Linked DNA regions of Elephas maximus indicus. The protein of the gene in region 1 purifies or fractionates together with the protein of each later gene. This does not show direct contact. Links are inferred from orthologs where the notes say so. Each region holds a gene or a part of one and is shown in the gene's direction. Other genes may lie near its edges. The genes, in order: PPP2R2D, IER5 and PPME1.

Region 1 (7,346 bases):
CTCCCTCTGTGATTTTTTTCATACTTTTCAGATACAAGGTTCTTTTCTGGCTTGATGAAAAATTAGATAAACAGTAAGTTAGACTTTTTAAAAATCAACTTTTATCAATGTGTGATCCACATGCGTACAATATAATGGACCCAATTTAAGTGTGTGGCTTCATGAGTTTTGACAATGGCGTACACCTGTGACCACTGCTCCAGTGAAGACATACAACATTCCCCTGGCTCCAGTGAAGACATACAACATCCCCCTGGCTCCAGTGAAGACATACAACATTCCCCTGGCTCCAGTGAAGACATACAACATTCCCCTGGCTCCAGTGAAGACATACAACATCCCCCTGGCTCCAGTGAAGACATACAACATCCCCCTGGCTCCAGTGAAGACATACAACATTCCCCTGGCTCCAGTGAAGACATACAACATTCCCCTGGCTCCAGTGAAGACATACAACATCCCCCTGGCTCCAGTGAAGACATACAACATTCCCCTGGCTCCAGTGAAGACATACAACATCCCCCTGGCTCCAGTGAAGACATACAACATTCCCCTGGCTCCAGTGAAGACATACAACATCCCCCTGGCTCCAGTGAAGACATACAACATCCCCCTGGCTCCAGTGAAGACATACAACATCCCCCTGGCTCCAGTGAAGACATACAACATTCCCCTGGCTCCAGTGAAGACATACAACATTCCCCTGGCTCCAGTGAAGACATACAACATTCCCCTGGCTCCAGTGAAGACATACAACATTCCCCTGGCTCCAGTGAAGACATACAACATCCCCCTGGCTCCAGTGAAGACATACAACATCCCCCTGGCTCCAGTGAAGACATACAACATCCCCCTGGCTCCAGTGAAGACATACAACATCCCCCTGGCTCCAGAAGGGTATCTCTTGCTCTTTCACAATCAGCCTCCTCCCACAACCATGTTTTTTCCTGTCTCCATATTATAAGCGATCTAAACGGAGGCTCAGCAGTCAGACTGTTTAAAAAATAATTTTTTTTCATCTAGTAGATTCTGACTCCTGGTGACATCATGGAGAGGAAGGAGTCGCCGGATGGGTGACACAAACGGTCAAACGCTCGATGACTAACTGAGATATTGGCAGTTTGCACCCACCCAGAGGCACCTCAGAAGACAGGCCTGGTGATCTGTTTCCAAAAGGTCACATCCTAGAAAACTCTATGGAGCAGTTCTACCCTGCACGCACGGGGTGGCCGTGGTCGGAATCACCATTTACAGCACGTACTCTTTTGTGTCTAGTTCCTTTTGTTCAGCATTGTATTTCTGAGATTCGCCCCTGTCGCTCTTAGGAGTAATTTGTTCTTTTTCGTTACTAAATAGTATTCCGTTGTGTGAGTACAGTACACTAGACTCTAATACACACCAGACACTTCACAACTCGCGATGAGCTCTAAAAATTATGATAAGGAAAAAGAAAACTGTCTTGCAATACCCAAGACTTGTCAACACCAATTAGAATGCAAACAGTGAAATTCACAGAGATATTTAAAGCTCTTTATTATCACAGAAAAGAAGAGTTAAAACTTCTTGCAGGCCAGCTGACGCAGGGTGGGTCCCAAGGAAGACAGCTCACTATTGTCAGGAATATGCTACTTCTGTGGACCACACCTTGTCTTTTAATGTAATTTAATGGTAGCCAATACGTGAAAGAACACATCTGAACCAAGTTATCTTGCCATCATTTGAAAAGACTTATCTTTCCACACATAATGGTAAAACGGAACAAAAAATAGTAAACCAGTTACCGTGGCGTCCACTCCGGCCCACGGTGACCCACGCGTGTCAGAGTAGAACTGTGCTCCACAGGGTTTTCAGTGGCCGATTTTTTGCAAGTAGATCCCCTGATCTTTCTCCCGAGGCACCTCTGGGTGGACTGGAACCTCCAACCGTTTGATTACAAGTGAATGCGTTGGCCCTTTGCACCACCCAGGGACTCCTTCCATACACAAAGCAATTACACAGAAGACAGTCTGATAGCTGGCCAACGTTTCAGTTGCGGTCACCGTCAGGCTGGACAAATCTGCACATAAAAAGGGGAGATTATGGCGCCTTGTCTCTGCTTCTCCTGACAAGGTTCCCGAAGGGCTGTGGTGCTCACTGCCCCCACCACCGCCCCCCCCCCCCCGGCAGCTGCTCTGGGCTTCTGGGCTCCTACCGGGGAAGCTAAGGTCCACCCTGCAGCCTGTCTGATGCCACCCGCCTGCAGCACTGGAGAGCCACAGCTCCCATCCCGTCCCTGGCTCCCCGCCCAGCTCCAGGAAGGCTGCTCCTCTGTCCTCCATTCTCTGTTCCCACACCCTTCCGGACTCTGACCTCGGTTCTCTTCCCCATCCACCCCCGTTCCTGGTGATCTCACCATTCCAGCCTCAAGATGCTGCTGACCCTGAGTTCACACTCCAGCCCCAACCTCCCTGTGATCCCGGCTCGGATGTCTAGCTGCCTTTGCCACCACTCCCTCAGCTGATGGCCACCCCTGGGCCTGTACTGCCACACTGCTCCTTCTGTGGTCCTTCCCTCCTCGAGCTAGGGCTGCAGACCCCAGGAGTGCAGTGGTCCCTCGGTCCCTTCTTCCTCTACATCCATCCCACCTGCACGCCCACCCAAAGCCCTGCCTTGGCAACACTGCGGCTCTGAAATCCAACCGTTCTCACCGTTCTCACTTCACACCCACGTCCACACCCCTCATCACCTTGCCTGGACCCGGCAGTGGTCCCTCACGGGTCTCCTTGCCTTGGCCCTGGAGTCCCTCCTTCTGTTCTCAGCACGGCAGCCACAGTGGCCTGTTACAGCCCCATCGGTCACCACCCTCCCCTCCTCATCACCCCCATAGGGTCCCCCACCCATCAGAATCCTTGAATGGGCCCACATGGGCACACCCTCCATTCTCCTCGCCTTACCTCCCTGTCTTCACGTCTACCTCGTCTCCCTTCACCCACTTTGCTCCCCCACCCCCGGCCTCCTGCCTTGCTGCTCCTTGCTTGTTGCCAGATGCACGCTGCCCCAGGGCCATTGCACCCGCTGTTTCCACCTCCTGGCACAACCTTTCCCAGATATTGCACGGCTGGCTCCCTCAACCCCTCATGGTCCTCCTCATCATTCAGTTTAAAATTGCAAGTTCTCCCCACACACACCCCAAATATACGCCCTTTGCCCGATCTCTACCTTATTTTTCTATCTAGCACCATGTGACTTATTACATAACTTGCTCTTGTTGTCGCCGGAATCCCTGTCTGAAATATAAGCTGGGGAGGTCAGACTCTCTGCCCCCGCCGCACCCTGGCAGCTGGAGCAGGGCGTGGCCATCAATAACCGTTCCTTCAGTGAACGGAGACTCTAGGTCCTTGTTTCTCCTGATTTGGAGCATTGTCTTCTAACTGTGCAATGCGACCACCGCCAACTCTGCAACATCACTGATACGAGTTAGGACTCAGATACCGGTGAAACCCATAAATGAATGGGTAATCTCTCGGATACCAGAGAAAACAAACCCACAAACGAAGAAGAGGCCAGCCACGTTGTATTTCAAACCAAAGGTTTTCATCAAAGTGTCTCCCTAGGTAGCTCCAAGAATCCCTGAGCCGCCGACTTCACAGACACAGGCGAACTCGGCACGGGGTTCTGGCCGCGAACCTGCGGACTCGCCGCGCGGGCCGGGAAGCCCCACCCGTCCGGACATCGCCGTGCCTAGTGCGCCCCTGTTGGCTCCTTCCATTGGCCGAGGCTCCAAGGGGCGGGCCAGAGCAGCACTCAGGCCTCGCCCACCCCTGCCCGGAGGCCACGCCCACCCACCCCCAGACAGCCCTGCGCCGAGCGCGCCCCCATTGGCTGCTCCGCGGCAGGGCTCGCAAAAGGGCGGTGCTCCAATTGGTCGAGGTCCGAGGGGCGGGGCTCAGACTGGCGGTGGGGCACGCCTGAGAGCGAGGCTGAGTCAGCACTGGAAGTCGAGTGTCCACCCTGCTTTCGAAGCCTGTCCACTGGGTGCTTCGGGGTCGCCGCTTCGAGCCCTCTACACCCTCCCTGAGAGCGGCCCCGCAAGTGTTCTTCCAAGGAGCTCCGGACACCCGCCGGCCCGGCGCTCCTCCTGCGTCCCTAAACCGTCTCCTCCCGACCGCGGGTCATGGGGCGGGGAGCGGCTCCGGGCGCGCGACGGCGTCTCGCGCAGGCGCAGTCCACGCGGGGCGCGTCGCCGACAGCCCCCGGGCCGCACGCCAGCCTCGCCCCGCCCTCCCGGGACAGGCCCCGCCCCCGGCCCCGGCCCCTCTCACTGGAGGTGGAGGGATGACGTCATCGAGCGGGGCGACGGGCATTGGGCGCCATTTTGAAAAGGGAAAAAAAAAAATCACTGGCGGAGGCGACTGCCGGGCTGAGGTTCTCGGGAGGCGGTAGCGCGGCGGCTGCTCGTTCCGTGCGCGCAGTCGGCGCGGCATCGTCCGCCCGCCGCCGCCTCAGCGCCGGCCGCCTCGGCGATGGCAGGTGAGGGGCCGCGCGCCGGGGGCGGGACGGGCGGGGGCGGGGGCCGGGCCTGATGCCCCTCGTGTGTTTGCAGGAGCCGGGGGCGGCGGCTGCCCCGCGGGCGGCGGCGACTTCCAGTGGTGCTTCTCGCAGGTGAAGGGGGCCATCGACGAGGATGTGGCGGAAGGTAAGGCTCGGCCGGCCCGAGCGCAGCTCCTGGCGTGACGGGCACGTCCCGGCGCGCGGCCCCGCCTCGGCCTCCGCGCGGTCCCGCTGGTGCAGTGCCGCCCGAGCGGAATCGCGCCGGGCCCTGCAACCCGGGTCCGGGTCACTGTGCGCGCCTCCGGCCGCGGCCGCACCTCGGGCCCCGAGAGGGACCGGCCCGAGCACTTCCCGGGCCCCCGGCGCTCGCGGGCCTCGGAGGGCGGCCCAGGTACAGGCTGGGGCTCAGGCCGGAGAGGGGGACGGCAAGCCTGGAGGGGCCAGACCGGGGGGGGCGATAGAGCCGCGGGGGACGGGCCCGGGGCACAGGTCGAGGGGCGACAGAGCCGCGGGGGACGGGCCCGGGGCACAGGTCGAGGGGCGACAGAGCCGCGGGGGACGGGCCCGGGGCACAGGTCGAGGGGCGCAGACGTGCGGGTACAGGCCTGGGGCACGGGCTGGGGGGCGCAGACGCGGGGGGACGGGCCCGGGTTCAGGTCTGAGAGGGACAAGCCGGCACTCGCCCCGCTCCCCGGGACCACGCTCCCCTCTGCCTGGTGGCCATGGTGGCCTGAGGAGTCGCCCCGTGGGGACGGCTGCAGTGGGGCGCTGTTCTGTACGTGATGGTTTCTTGGTGCGCTCACGGATGTGTCATTTTTAATGGGATATTGGCTGAGAGGGGTTATGTAAGTAGCCTAAGGTCACAGACCGGGGGAGTGGCGGAGACTGGATGAGAACGGGGGTATTTTGAGCCCAGTTCTGGGTTCTTCCCAATGGAAGTGGCCCCCGCCTCCTGTATTTGGTGGAACTAAGAAAATAACTGCAGAAGTTGGGGACTCAGGATACTTAAAATCGGGGTGACTGTACTTGAGGATTAGGGACGGGGCCCACGGTTCTCTAGACCCCAGCGCAGTCTTTAATCTCTCTCTTTTTTTTGGCTCAGTTTCTTCCTCTCTAAGAAGAGAGTTGGTCTACTGGATTCTTAAGACTGCCTTCTAGGGTTCTAAAATTATTGAATTCTACCACCAATCTTGATGTCTGTTTCTTTTTCCCTTTTAGGTTTTAATCTCGAACCTTATGGCATTGCATTAAATTGGCTGGTGGTTTTTTCACAATAGTCTCAAGTGGGCTAAGGCTTAGAGTTTCAGGACTGGGTGGGAAACTCCGTAGGGTGTACCCTGCCTCTCTCAGCTTCCCATGAAGCCACATGTCATCTTAAAGGGAAAAATTGAGTGTAAAAATGATTTTTAGAGACTGAGAAGTTTAACATTTTAGGTTTAGAATAATAAACTTTTTTTGTTGTTCAGCCATCTTACTGAACATTGTGAGCCTTTCACTTTTCAAGAGTGAATTGTCATTGGCTGATGCTTTGCACCAAGTTCATCTTCCCTGCCCCAAGTAACCTTGGCTCTTCCTGTGCCCTTTACTCCCTCTGCCTGCTCCCTGTGCTTCTTCCTGGCAGTGTCTCCTTTGATGCATGACCCTTGGGGACATCTGCGAGCCTTGGCCCATGGGACAGACAGTGCCCAGATTAGGGAAGTGCAGTTGTACTCTAAGAAATTTGTGAAGTCGTGTATGGTTTTTGGTTGTAGCTTGATGATTTTATATAGTGTAAATAAGCATAAACAAGCACGTTGATTCTGTTTCCTTTGGATCAATCTAAAATATGTTACTTTTGTTGTTTGATTTATGTCCCAAGTAGGGAACAGTTCACCTTTACCCAGGTGAAGTGGTGATTTCTATCGAGAGGAAAGCAGAAAATGTTTGTTTGGTGGCAGAGCTTAAGGCCTGTCTTAGTTTCTGGTTTCTTTCTTTTTTCTAGAAGTTTTTATTGCCAAGTTAAATGAATAGAAATTTAAATATAACTGAAATGGTATATTTTAAGTGTGACTTGATACTTTGAAGATGGCATTCTTTCTCTTACAAGAATGGGGACAGAAAGGTTTTGTTCTCAGAATTAAACTGATTAGAAGTTTTTGCAGCCTTAAACCCCGGTTTTGAGCAGAAATTTGAGCTCATCTAGAAGTTTCACGTTTTGGAGTTGCCATCATTTTGGTGACTGCTTTGCGCTGATAGTGTGTGTATCGCAACTTTCTCTTTTAACCCACTCAAGGGGTTAGTCACTTGGCAGGGTTAACACATTTTTAGGTGTTCTTTACTTTGTCACATAGTTGTGATATGAATTTGAATTGCATCATTAACGTAGAGTTTGACAGTAACTAAGGAAAATGCAATCTTTAGCAACTGGTAATTTTTAAGCAACATGTAAAAAGAAGCTGGCAGAATGCTTTGCAGAAGAATTTCTGGCCCAAACTCAACCTTAATGAAGACATTTTGATGCTCAGAGAGTTACTAGGGAATGGGTAGGTAGTTCGTGAGAGGGACTAAGCTTTGACCGGAGGACTTGGGGTGCGCTGAAATCTGAACGAATGCATGGCTCTGAGGCGTGCCTGCGAAGGCTTTATTTTGGCCTGAGCTTTACCGTGAGTCAGCCTTAACCCTACGCTTTAGACCATGTTTCTGCATTCCTTTGGGATGGGTGATAAGAAAGGGCATTAGAAATTGAAGCTAGAGACCTCACCTCACTTCAGTGAGGGTGGTATCTGCAGAGGTAGAGGGGTTGGGGGAAGGAGGGTTAAAAGTAGGCACTCTGAACT
Region 2 (6,114 bases), on another chromosome or scaffold:
TACCTTGCTCATGTTACATAACTAGACCATAGGTTTCTTATTTTACCTAGAGGTGAAATAACTTTCTAAAGGTCACACAGCAAATAAGAGATAGAGCCAAGCAATCTAGTCCCAAAGGCCACACTCAAGCTTCAGACTGAAATAAGTTCAGAGTTGAATCCTATCTCCTCCACCAACAGCTGTAAAACTTTGGGGAAGTAACTTAACCTCTCGTAATCTAATTTCCTCACCTGTAAATGGAGATGATAATATATACTTTCAAAACTTTGTAAGGATGCTAAATACTACATGGAAAGTGACTAACACAGTGCCTGGTAGATAATATCATTAGGGATTCATTAATTCAAACACGTAGTACTCAGTATGCATGGGTATGGCCACACCAGTTGTTAAAATATTTAAATACTTCCAGGCCAGTTGGTAAAACCTCTGCCCCAGGCCCCCTAAGTGCCTCCTTTCCTGGCCACCCAGCCGCTCCTGAAGGAGCCCTCCATAACCCCTGGCACTTTGGGAGGGCCTCCAGGACCCTATTCTGGTGGTTAGTGCCAGTGTCACATCAGGTTTCAAATACTTTGACTATGTCTTGGCTACAAATATAAATGAAATGGGTTTTTGCTGTCAATGAGAATACAGTCTTGGAGGGGCTCTGGGCGTGGCAGGAGAGAGTGATAAGTGCAGCGATAAAGGAATGTCCTGCCTAAGTGGTGGCCCTGAGGACAGTGAAATGAACCAGCTTGGGCGGGCCAGAAATCTTCACCCAAGGCAAGAAGCTTGTGCTATCAGTGACCTGCCGGGGGCAGGGGAGCATCCTAGATCATCACAAAGATTCCTTTTATCTCTGTTTTTTCATTCTTGCTACCTGCACCCTAGCTGAGGCCTTCAGGACTCTGCCTAAACTTCACATGAGCTTCATAGTTCAGTGGTCTTCCTGAGCCAACAGTTTTATCCATTCTGTCGTTCCCTTATTCAACAACCTTTAGTAGCTCCCTGTGGTCCCATCTTCGTATCGAGGCATCTAGGACCCAATATCATACAGTCCTAGTCTCTGCTTCTAGCCTTTTCCACTTATTTCAGTGCAGGTGCTGGGCACACCTGCCAAATTGGATGTTCCCTGTGCTAGATTCTGCTACTATTGCTGCTGCTGCTGTTGTTGCTTGGAACTTGTGGGTCCTCCCTCAGTGTTTTTCAACACTGTTCTCAAGTACTTCTGTGAAAGTTTCTTCTGTGGTGGATTAATTACTTCTGTGCGTGGCCTTTACAGCCATGGTCTTATAACTCCCACCCAGGTGATTCTGTGATAGGGCAATTGTGGCCTACCAATGGGATTGGTCAGTCTTGCCCTAAAAGAGCAGCGGGAGAGCCCATCACCACCAAAGAAGGAGAGATCAGCAGCAGAGACTTGCAGGAGATGGCAGGCCCACGGAGCAGGAAAGCTGAATGCCTTTGGGCAGAGACTGACTGCCAGGGAGAAGTCTATGCCTGACCTATAAATCTGGGACTTGCCAGCCTCTAAAACCCCGTGAGCCATTTCCTTTATATGGTCCATTAGTTCTGTGGGATGTTGCAGGAAATTAGGGAATCCAAAGACAGGAGGGAGAGTATTGAGGCGAGAGGGAGTAGTTGATGTTAGAGATGATGGAGTGGTAAAGCGGCTTGGAAAAGCGAGACATTTGGGACATCTTTAACCTCCGCCTCATAGGAAACACCTTTGTGCTGATCCATATAGAATCAATTTTATTTGTATACCTTCTATCCCGAGGTTCTTCTCCCACTCCAATATTGTGTGTGGATGGAATGGATATACAGGAACAACTAACATACACTGATATTAACAGCTTACTATATGTCAGGTGAGGAGCCCTGGGGGTGCAGTGGTTAAGCAGTTGGCTGCTAACCGAAAGGTTGGTTCTGTAAAGATTTACAGGCTTGGAAACCCTATGGGGCAGTTCTACTTTGTCCCAAAGGGGTGCTGTAAGTCGGAGTCAACTCAGTGGCAATGGGTTTGGTTTTCTTGTTGCAGTTAAAATGTCAGGTGCTGTTTTAAGATCTTTACATGTATTACTTTGTTTCATTTTCACAAAATTTCCACAAGATAGGGACAATTATTACCTCTCTTATCACATGAAAAAGACATGAGGCATAAAGAAGTGAAAATAACTTGCCAAAGGTCACACAACAAATAAGATATGGAACGGGCAATCCAAACAAGGAAGTTGGTCTTCAGAGCCTGTGCTCTTAACCACTGTTTTATAGTGACTAATAGCACTCATAGAAAGAGAAAACAAAAGAAAAACTTTCTTATGTTATTATTTAACAAATGTTATTTGTTTTCATAATTCTTTACATCATTATTTCATCTCCTCTATTCAGGCTGAAAATTCTCAGGCGGGGTACTCTGGGTCTCACATTCTTGTATCTCACTTACCAGTAGGAAAAAAAAACCAGTTACCACTAAGGTACGGGCAAACAAAGGTAGCGCCACTGACCCACTGGCCTCCTGATTGTGAACTGGCCATTATCAGGCCCACCTTCTTTCACTAGTATTTCTCCTAACTAAATGCACAACATGGCCAAACCCAGGTGCAGAATCAGGCAAACACTCCTACATGGACTCCAAGAAAGCTGTGCTTAGTTTTATGATTCAGATTGTGGCTGAGAGCTGTCACTCATTATCTCCGTAATAGGCCAGATGGGTGTGTGACTTCTCCTTTTTAGAGCTGGGAAAATTAAAGCATCCTGAGGTTATTTGCCCAGATTCATCAGGCAGATCCAGGTTCCCAGTCCTGGACCCTGGACAACCCTGTTGTGATTCTGCTCTGATGCCATGTACTAAGAATCAATAAATGGAATAAGTTGCTGACTGACCAGATAATTCTGGAACACCCTCCCCCTATATTTTTACCTTGATGCAAAATAAAATTATGACATCACGATGGGAACACTGGACTTCTCTATTTGTATTTTTAGCATTTGCTAGAATTTTCCAAAGATGGACTGGTCAGTTCTTGAAGAAAAATCATCTTGGAAAATGTGTAACACTTTTTATTTGTAACATATGTGACAAACGGGTGTGTTCTAGAATCTAGAGAACAAAGGGATAGATGTTTAGTGGAGAACGAGTACTTTTGGACTTAGGCACAATTCTTTGATAAGAAGCCTAAAACGGGGACTTTTGTTGCGGTTAGTTGCTGTTGATTCTGACTCATGGTGACCCCACGTGTGTCAGAGTAGAACTGTGCTTCATAGAGTTTTCAAGGCTATGACCTTTCAGAAGCAGAACACCAGGCCTGTCTTCTGAGGGGCTTCTGGGTGGGTTCCAACCGCTAACCTTTGGCTAGTGGTTGAGCAGTGCTTAACTGTTGGCCCCACTCAATTACTCCTTAGGAACTTTTAGCACTGGCAGGTGGTAAAGTGTGTGTGTGCCATTGGTTTTCCGGTGCAAGGAACTCTTAAAAACGTGTATTTGCCAAACATCTTGTAGTAATACTACTTTAAAGTACCTGCTACCAGGGTCTCCTCTTGCAGATATTGTCATCTTCTCCATGTCCTCGGTGACCAGGCATCTACAGGTGCGTGCTGCCCGGAAATGGGGAGCTGATGGGGCGGGAGCAGGACTTTATTGTCGAGCAGAGTCCACTGCCAGAGGCAGATGAAAGTGCCAATGGTTGGAGCTTTGTTTTTGGCAAGCCAGGGCACAAGCCACAATCTTTAATTTCCAACAATAGCAACCGTGAGTACATCTCCTACCTAAACACTCGCCCTCCGCCCTCCGATCACCCGCCCAGACCGCACTCGTCTGTCGGATGCACGCCGTCGCCCCCTTTAAGAGCCTGCTCCGCGGGACTAACGTTCGAATCGGCCCATGCTCCCCTCCTCGCTCTCCGATTGGCTGGGTGCGTAGCACACGGGCGCGCCTACCGGCCCCAGAACGGTTGGCGGCTCTTCGTGATTGGCTGGCGCTCGAGGGGCCTATATAAGGCGCGGGCCGGCAGGTTTGCCCTCAGTTAGCGACCGGACCCAAAAGTGTGCGGCTTTTTGTGTGACCGGGCTAGGGGGTCAGCGCGAGCGTCACCCGTCGTTTGTCTTCGGAGTCTTCAGATTCCGAGGGTCCACCCACGGAGTGGGCTTGTCTACGCCTCTCCCCTCCCAGCTTCCGAACGTGCGGCCGGGGCTCACCCCTCTCACCTCCGCGCCGACCCTGGGCAAGGGGAAGGCAGGATGGAGTTCAAGCTGGAGGCTCATCGCATCGTCAGCATCTCGCTGGGCAAGATCTACAACTCCCGGGTCCAGCGCGGCGGCATCAAGCTGCACAAGAACCTGCTGGTCTCGCTGGTGCTTCGCAGCGCCCGCCAGGTATACCTGAGTGACCCGTGCCCGGGCCTCTACCTGGCCGGCCCCGCGGGGAGCCCCGGCGCCCCGCCGCAGCAGTCCTGGGAGCCGCCGCAGCAGACCCGGGAGCCGCAGCAGTCCCGGGAGCCGGCAGCCAGGCCACCCGCCGGCTGGGGGGAGCCGCCACCGCCGGCCGCCCGCGCCACCTGGCAGGAGGCCGAGCCGCAGCCGGAGCGTCCCGCTGCCCCAGGCGAGCCGCGGACGGGTGGCGCGGAGCCCGCGGCCGCTGTGACGGGAACCGGGGACACTCTGCTGGGCGGAGAGGCGGAGGCGGCGGAAGCTGCCTGGCGCCGCGTGGAGGGACCGCACAAGGTGGAGGGACCGCACAAGGTGGAGGCCGGAGAGCCCGGGGTCCCCGCCGGAGGCTCGGACCTTCTCCCCGAGGAGCCTCGGGCCGCGCGCCGCCACTGCTGCTGCCCGGTGGGCAGGGAGGACAAGCCGGGCGCCCCGACCGGGTCCCGGCGCGCTGACTGCCGCTGCGCCTCCAGGGCCGCCGAGGACGAGCCCCCCGCGCCGCCCCCCGTCTGCCCCAGGAAGCGCAGCGCGGCGGGGGCGGGCGGCGGCCCCGCGGGCTGCCCGGTGCCCGACTCGACCCCGCTGAAGAAGCCCCGCCGGCACCTGGAGGAGCAGCCGGGCGGGGGAGACGAGGAGGAGGAGATGGAGACCGGTAACGTGGCGAATCTCATTAGCATTTTCGGTTCCAGCTTCTCGGGACTCTTACGGAAAAAAAGCCCCGGGGGCGGCCTGGAGGAAGAAGAGGGCGAGGAGAGCGCGCCGGAAGCCGCCGAGCCCGGGCAGATCTGCTGCGATAAGCCGGTGCTGAGAGACATGAGCCCTTGGAGCACAGCCATCGTGGCCTTCTGAGCCCCCCGGGTCCCTGCGAGGGAAGGAGATTGAGCAGTGGGCGTCCTCGAATGGAGGGCTGGGCCTCTCCCGGCTGCGAGGACCCCCCAGACCGTAGGCGCTGGGCGCGCTGGGCAGACTGGTGGCTGCCGGGCGGCAGAAACTGCCTGTGGGCTCGGCAGCCCTGCTGTGCCACGACTCGGGAGCCTCGTCTCGAGACTTGGGAGTTGGAGGCTTTGGGGAAGAGAACGATTGTTAACTTTTGTGTATGTGTATGTCTGTGTGTATGCAAGTTTGTCTTGTTGAATTAAGACTATTTTGTCTTTCTTGAATGCATCACCCCTTCCCGCGGGCTTAAGAGATCGGGGGCAGACAGGGACTTTCCTCTGCCGACAGCACCGAGAAGGAAGCGGAGAAAATGGGGAGTTCCCCATTCGTTCTCAGGGGAGGAAGGGACTTTACACACACCCCTCACATGAAAGCTAGAGCCACACCAGGGCCCGGAGTGGCGTTTCCTCACAGGATTTCCTAAGACTAGAGGGATTTAGTCTGGAGCCAGAGACTTATGTTATTTCTCTCCCTCCCCACCTTTCTCTCTCAACGAAGAAACGTTTATACCCTGTGATTACTCTGGGAAAGGGAATATTAACAGCCCATCTCTTTCTCACAGGGTAGAAAGCTTGATAAACTTCCCAGAAGAGTTCAAGCTTGGAAATAGGGAGTTCATAGAGAAAAGATATATTTTTAAAAGCTCTAGCTCAGAACTACTACACAGTGCTTTTAAAAAGTGTTGCCTGAAACAAAGTTTACAGACAGAAGCCCTAAGTGGAAAGACCTTATGGTTTTGTAGACATGGCGACTCCAGTCTTTGTTGTATAAAGG
Region 3 (7,094 bases), on another chromosome or scaffold:
TGTATTATCAGTAAATTTTACATCTGCAGTCTCTTTCCTCAGGCATAATGTAAGCCAAAAGCAGAGACATTACACTTATTAACTGAAGAAGCATGGTATAGTGAAAAGAGCATGATTTTTGGTGTCTCAAGTCCTAGTTCTGCCATCTATCAACCATGTGACTTAGAGAGTATTCATTTCATCTTTCTGAATCTCAGTTTCACTGTCTACAAAACAGAGGAACTACTTATCTTGCAGAGTTATTCTAAAGATTAGAAATAATACATATAAACCGTTAGCACATGGTGTATACTCAATAAAATGGTTATTATAAAGCCTCTTTGACTCTTCAACAAGTAGCAATGCCCACCACATACTAGGAACACAATAACACTTATTGCTAACAACATAACCACATGCTTACTAGACCTGCAGGTTAAATAAGACAAAAACATACCTGTTAGATAAGAGGTAAACTGCTTTGGACCACAGCGAACAGCATAACGTGTGGTTGTTCTCACAGCTTTTGGCTCAGTCTGCAAAGCATCTCTAGGACAAAAGAAGGTTCCGTCTGATGTTTCTCCCCACCATCTCACTCGGACAAGTACACAAGTGGGAGGCTTTGCAATCTTCCATATGACTTTATTAATAGTAAGTTTCAGAAAGCAGCGCAATTGGCCTTCAACCAGAGGTGGAAGGCTTGTAGATGGAGAAATATCACTCAAAGCTGTGGAATAATCCAAGAACCCTGAGTCAAAATTTAGACTAAATATAAAAATCATGAATGAAAAACAAACAAAAAACACTTTAGTCTCTACAGAGAGAAGGTTTTTTCTACCTACTTCAATACATGATAAGTAACTAGCTAACCAGGCTGTGGAATAACCTATCTGGTCGTTTACACCACCCTGATTGTTGTTGGGAAACCCTGGTGGTGTAGTGGTTAAGTACTATAGCTGCTAACCAAGAGGTCGGCAGTTTGAATCTGCCAGGTGCTCCTTGGAAACTCTATGGGGCAGTTCTACCCTGTCCTATAGGGTTGCTATGAGTTGGAATTGACTCGATGGCTGTGGGTTTGGTTTTGGTTTTGATTGTTGTTGTTAGTTGCCATCACATTGATTCCAACTCATGGTGACCACGTTTGCACTGCAGAACTGCTCCACAGGGTCTTCAAGGCTGGGACCTCTCGGAAGCCAGGCCTTACACTTCCGAGGTGCCTCCGGGTTGGTTTTAACCGCTAATCTTTAGTTAGTAGTTTAGTGTTTATAACCATTTGAGCCAACCAGAGACTCCAGCCATCCTGATAGCCCATTAGTATTTAGGCTCTGAGTCAGGTTATTCTAAGTAAAGAACATACCAACTTAAGACATACTAATATAAACTTCTCTTTAATTGAAATTAATTAATTTAAAAAATACAAATACAATGATACAGTTTTTTAAAATCTCAGAAATAGCTGAATTTTTGCTGCCAAATACTGATGTTTTAAGGCAACATCCATGATTTTTAAGATATGTTATCTTTACCCAATTCACTTATTTTAAAAAACTATCAACTAAACATAAAACAGCAACAACTCCCTTCACTGAACTCCCAAACAATTTAGTGTGTGCCACACAATCCAATATTTCAATAAAGACCATCTTAAACTGTGTCTTGTCTCTCCTACCAAAATCATAAAGTCAATGAAGACAGAGACTATCATCTTTACATTCTGCCGCTACTTTTTAGAACATTGTTGGATTCACAATATTTATTGGCTTTCAGAAAGATAATACATCAACATGGGGCAATTATCATGACTTTCTATGAAGCTTTGCTTTAACGGCCTTGTCTTCCATTCACAGCATCATTTCACCATGTGACTTTGAGTTTTCCTCTGACTTTTCTCTTGAAGAGTGGTCATGCCTCATAAGAAAATACACTTGAACCAGAATCTAACAGATCAGGAATCTACAAAAATAATTCTTTAGGTTTCTGAAGCAAATACCCTTTACTGCCCTTCATAATGGAAAAACTCCCACCATAATCTTTATGGAGCCTGGTGGCATAGTGGTTAAGAGCTCGGTTGCTAACCAAAAGGTCAGCAGTTCACATCTACCAACCGCTCCTTGGAAACTCTATGGAGTTGTTCTACTCTGTCCTATAGGGTCACTATGAATGGGAATCAAGTTGACCACACCTAACAACAACAATGAAATCTTTACGGATAATTAGTTTCAATATAAAAATTATACACAGGTTTGTACATGTGCCTCACTGCATATGCATCTGTTATAGCAAGAAGGACGTTATTTTCTATACTACGGTTGTCATTTCTACTTTGGTTTGTCTTTTATCAATCAAATGTGCTTGACTGATTTGCCAAAGGGAGCACTGGCATTGAAAACCTCCATGTCTCTGTATCAGATTCTCCTACCATATCTGGCAGGAAAAGCACTGCCTCACAACTGCCTTACAGCTTGGATAAGATTCTTTCCCATACAGTAGCTTCAGCCTTCAACCCAATGGCCTTAATGTACTATCAGTATTCCTAATACCCTTTCTTCACTGTTGCTGTTGTTAGTTGCCATCTGGCTCATTGTGACCCCATGTGTGCAGAGTAGAACTGATTCATAGGGTTTTTTAAGGCTGTGACCTTTTGGAAGCAGATGGCAAGGCCTGTCTGCTGAGGTGCCTCTGGGTGAGCTGGAACCACCAACCTTTCAGCTAATAGTTGAACATGTAACCACTTGCACCACCCAGGGTCTCTTAAAGTGCCCATAATATAAAAAAGTCATGGCCACCTAATTTTCTTTTTTTCTTGAAGGCAGCCCTAGAGAGATCCAACTTCCAGTTTTCTGATCTGCCCTGGGTTCCTAGCATGACTGTTCTCACTACAGCTAACACACTCCTACCCTTTTGGACACCTTGTTTCTCCATCAGTGTCCTAACCTAATGAGGTCCTCTTGCATCTCTGCAGCCTGCCCTCTAATGTTCCCCTTCCTAGCCACCTCACATCCTTCAGAAGATCCTCATGCCTTCACTCCCACTCCAATCCTACCACACCTTGTCACTACCCCTTTGCTGTTAAGTCCAATCCGACACATTGGGACCTTATTTTTTCAGCTCGTCACTACCCACTCTTTTCTCCCTCTCTGTTGCACAACTCTCCCAACTCTCGCTGGTAGGCCTCACTTGCTTCTTTCATTCAACTAACATTTATTGAGTAATGCTTTGCGCTAGTCCTTGGGGATCCAATAATGTATAAAACGTTCTTGCCCACTGACTTAGTCCCCTCTCCAACTTATGTTTCCTGTGGCCCCCTGAAGACCTTCAAAGTCTTTACCCCCCCCCCACACGTTTAACTTTGTTATTAAAAACACTCCTGGAATTTTTCCTTCCCCTCTCCTAGAGATGTCCTACTTGTACCTTTTTAGCCCTCACCAGCCCACTCGTTCCCGTTTTTTGCGTCGCACCCCATTTCCTTTTCATTCTTTGGAGGGCCAACTGTCCTCTCTTTTAACCTTCTGACTCCTTGGTTATTTTCCTTCTTCGTCCCATCTTTCTTTTAAACCCTGCTCCTTGCCCAAACCCCGCCCGGTTACGCTTTTTTCAGCCTTTGGTTGCTCGGGTTACCTCTCTTTTTGCGGCCACGGCCACCCCCAGGTCCCTGGCCTTTTCGTTGTTTCATGCCGAACCCGAGCTCTTTTTCACCAACTTAGCTCCGGACCCAGCACCGACGTCTTACCCTCCCGCCATCCCTTCTCCTGGCGCCAGCGTTCCCCGGCAACCGGCGCCGCTGGGCAGCCTGGGAGGAAGGAAAAAGCAACTCTCTCCTTAACAGTTTCTGGGAAGCCGTCAGAATGGAAGGCGCCAAGACTCCTTCCCGCCAGTAGACTACAACACCCAGGATGCTTTGCTATGCTACCTCTGCGGGGTCGGAAGCGGTCACCTCCCGCTGCGCAAGCGCGAAGGGCTAGGCCCTTAGACGACTCCATTGCCCAGGGTGCATTGCCTTTCAGAGGGCTCGTCTTTCCGGCGAGAGCTGTCGAGTTCTCCACTTGGGGTTTCAGCGGTCCGCAGACTCCGTTACCCAGCTTCCTTTGTGGGAGTGCTGTGGCGCACTTCCGGTGGAGGTGCTGAGAGAGGGGGTGGAGTCTGAGGAGCCGGTGGGCGGTAGGCGGTGCTGCCGGTGGCTGAGGGCTGTCTAAAGGCGACAGGGCGTCGCTAGGGAGCCATCTGTGACCGGTTGGCCCACACTTAACGTGGGACGAAGCTTCGGCTGCTGTTTGAGTACGTGCGGCCTCGCTTTCATGTCGGCCCTCGAGAAGAGCATGCACCTTGGCCGCCTGCCCTCTCGCCCTCCCCTACCCGGCAGCGGGGGCAGTCAGAGCGGAGCCAAGATGCGAATGGGGTACGTGACCCATACCCCTTCTCCCTAGAGGCCAGGCCCCGGCCATTGGAGAATGGCGTTTCTGGGCGTTTAGAGCAGCACGGGAGGAGAGGCTAAGGATAGAAGAACGCTGGCAGCGGCCTGGGAGAGGTTTGGTTGGAGTAGAAGGCAGATCTGGGAGACTAGAGGAGTCGCCAGGTCAATGGAAATTGGAGGACACCATCAGAGACTGGCTTGAAGGAAAAATTAGAGGAATAGCGATGTTCAAGGGAAAGGGAATGAGGCAAAGATTAGGGAAACTGAGAGGATAATTAAGGGATGTGGGAGGCACCTCCAGAGGAAGGAATGAAAGAGGTTTGAGGAAAGGAATAGAGCCGTGACAAAGGTGGGAGGTAAATGTGCCAGGCAGTGCTGGAGGAAATACGGAATGACTGAGAGAAAAGTTGAGGGGAATTGGGGGAACGGCTTGGGAGTAGTAAGAAGACTGTGAGAACTAGATTTTAGAAAAGCTGAGGGGCATAGGGAACACCTGAGGTAGGGTTGGGGAAGAAAAAAGGAGAGCTTAGGAGCAGAAGGTTCTAGACAGAGTTCCCAGAGGCATAAGAGACAGATCCAGGGAGTGAGGGGTGACTAATAGATTAGGTCTCTTAAGGGTGAACTGAGAAAGCTTGGTAAATAGGCCTAAAGAAAGATGGAGAATATAGCCAGGAAGATTGTTAAGGGTAATAGGAACGTTTTTTGAGAAGCTGGGAAGGAGTGACGAAGGAGAGGTCTGAGGAGTTTAGAGAGTGATGGTGGGCCCTAGGGATTGAGAAATGATTAAGAATAGGGTTTAGTGAATGGAAATGATGCAGAGGCGAGGTCTGGGAAGCTTTAAGAAAAAGATTTGGACAGTTGATTTTTGCCGGACAAGTAGATTTGAGGGAAGCAACGTACTGGCCTTACAATTCTCAGAGAAGTCATGAAGCATTGGGAGTAGCTGCTTAAAATAAGAAAGTGTTGGGGGAAAACAGTTTGATTGGGAGAGATGGAGCCGTGTGGAAGGGATAGGCTTTGGAATTTTAGGTCACTGAATGGCTTGTGCCAGGTTTGGGGATACTTAGGCAACAGAAAGAAGTCATAAAAGTTGAAGATGGGAGAGGCAATTGCTGGAAAGTAAAGGGAATTGAATAATCAGTTGGGATTGAGGGGTGTTTGTAGTGTCAGAATTCTGGGGACTAGTGACTGTAGAAAAGGGGTAGGAAGGATATGTAGGTATGAAGTAGTGAAGAATGTGTGTTTGGGACTCCAGAGGTGGGTTGGTTGATATTCTGGAAACGAGGACTCCTGAGGAGAAACTGTAGGTTCTGAAGAAGTAATAATTTACAAAAACTGATCAAAAATGAAATAAGCAAGAGATGCAGTACTGTGAAATTAGGTCCTAGGAATGAAGGGAAAGGAGAATCCTATAAATTAAAACAGTGGGGCAGAGAGATGGTGAGAATGGTTGGAGAAACCAGGGAAGGAAACGAAGATGTACAGTAGAAGAAATGAGGAAACTTTGACAGAAGGAGAGAGATTGGTGTATGCACAATAGAAAGACGTGGTAGAAGGCTACATGAAAGATAAAATGAGGATTGCTTTGGCTTTGGAAGAATGGAAGGTAGGACTAACATGAATAAAGGGAATCTGGAAACTGATCCATAGCAGATTATTTGGGAGAATTAATCTGGGGTATAAAATTAATGTAACATTTAGTTGTTGCCTTTTTCAAACTAAAATTTCCTCTTTCAGTATACCAGCACACTCTCTCTATAAATATAAAAAATATATTTTTAAAAATAACTAAACTATATATACTTTGATGTTGTTAGGTACTGTTGAGTCGGTTCTGACTCACAGTGACTCTATAGGACAGGGTAGAACTGCCCCATAGGCTTTAATAAGGAGCTGCTGGTGGATTTGAACTGCCAACCTTTTGGTTAATAGCCAAGCTCTTAAGCACCATGCCACTAGGGCTCTGTACTTTCAGTAAGTTTAATTAGAGCTCAGCTCCTCACCTTGTCAAAACCAGTTCTCTGAAGAGGAAGGGGTGGGGGGGAATAACCACGAGAAAACAAAGGAGAAATCTGCTGATTAGAAGATTGTATAGTTGTTAGTAACTTAACTTTTTCAGTAACTTGTCCTTTTTAAATAGATGCTTTGGGCTTCGTGATTTAGGTTGGCTGCTTATCTTGAAAAAATAAAGTTATTTAGGAAGATGCGTTTTTATCATAGTATTGGGAAGAGAAGAGCATGATTTTACTATATTGGTGAATTTTGTGTGATCCTCAAGTGGCTTATTTTCCTATATTTTTGTTTTCTGCTTCCTTTTTGGTACCTTGGCAAGGCCTCACCTAAGTCTGATGGTAGTGACAGAATGGACTGTCTTATCTAGACTCATAAAGCTAGACAAGAGCTTAGAAGTGATCTCATTTCACTACTTCATTTTATAGTTGAGGAAACTGAGACTCAGAGAATTCTGTATTCTGTGAGGCAAGCTAGGGCAGGGGATATTTTCTCTTGATAAACGAAAAAATTGAGGCTCAGGTGTTCCTGCTCTTAGGCAGCCTAGGAACTTAGTGGTAGGGCCACTAAGGACTAGGGTCACTTGACTCTGAGACCCATTGTTTTTTGGATTCATAGTTGTTATCCTGGAAATACTAATTTGAGTTGTATAGCTTATTCCTTTGCAGATACTCTAGGATTCAGTCTTTCATTT

What was found.
Region 2: the proteins of PPP2R2D (region 1) and IER5 purify together in Homo sapiens (affinity purification with mass spectrometry; 3 studies listed by BioGRID and IntAct, counting the BioPlex papers as one, with this or other methods). This does not show direct contact. The link is inferred for Elephas maximus indicus from reciprocal best matches to the Homo sapiens genes PPP2R2D and IER5.
Region 3: the proteins of PPP2R2D (region 1) and PPME1 purify together in Homo sapiens (affinity purification with mass spectrometry; 4 studies listed by BioGRID and IntAct, counting the BioPlex papers as one, with this or other methods). This does not show direct contact. The link is inferred for Elephas maximus indicus from reciprocal best matches to the Homo sapiens genes PPP2R2D and PPME1.

Annotation. Positions count from the first base shown.
Region 1 is NC_064834.1:81,627,842-81,635,187, forward strand, and holds the start of PPP2R2D (serine/threonine-protein phosphatase 2A 55 kDa regulatory subunit B delta isoform), read left to right. Parts: upstream 1-4,343; 5' UTR 4,344-4,502; coding exon 4,503-4,509; intron 4,510-4,582; coding exon 4,583-4,675; intron 4,676-7,346. UniProt on the Homo sapiens protein: Substrate-recognition subunit of protein phosphatase 2A (PP2A) that plays a key role in cell cycle by controlling mitosis entry and exit. Involved in chromosome clustering during late mitosis by mediating dephosphorylation of MKI67.
Region 2 is NC_064842.1:44,213,347-44,219,460, forward strand, and holds IER5 (immediate early response gene 5 protein), read left to right. Parts: upstream 1-4,016; 5' UTR 4,017-4,218; coding exon 4,219-5,253; 3' UTR 5,254-5,539; downstream 5,540-6,114. UniProt on the Homo sapiens protein: Plays a role as a transcription factor. Mediates positive transcriptional regulation of several chaperone genes during the heat shock response in a HSF1-dependent manner. Mediates negative transcriptional regulation of CDC25B expression.
Region 3 is NC_064825.1:48,323,596-48,330,689, reverse strand, and holds the start of PPME1 (protein phosphatase methylesterase 1), read left to right. Parts: upstream 1-4,037; 5' UTR 4,038-4,274; coding exon 4,275-4,375; intron 4,376-7,094. Other genes in the region: C2CD3 (C2 domain-containing protein 3), read right to left, coding at 437-706, 3,598-3,652. UniProt on the Homo sapiens protein: Demethylates proteins that have been reversibly carboxymethylated. Demethylates PPP2CB (in vitro) and PPP2CA. Binding to PPP2CA displaces the manganese ion and inactivates the enzyme.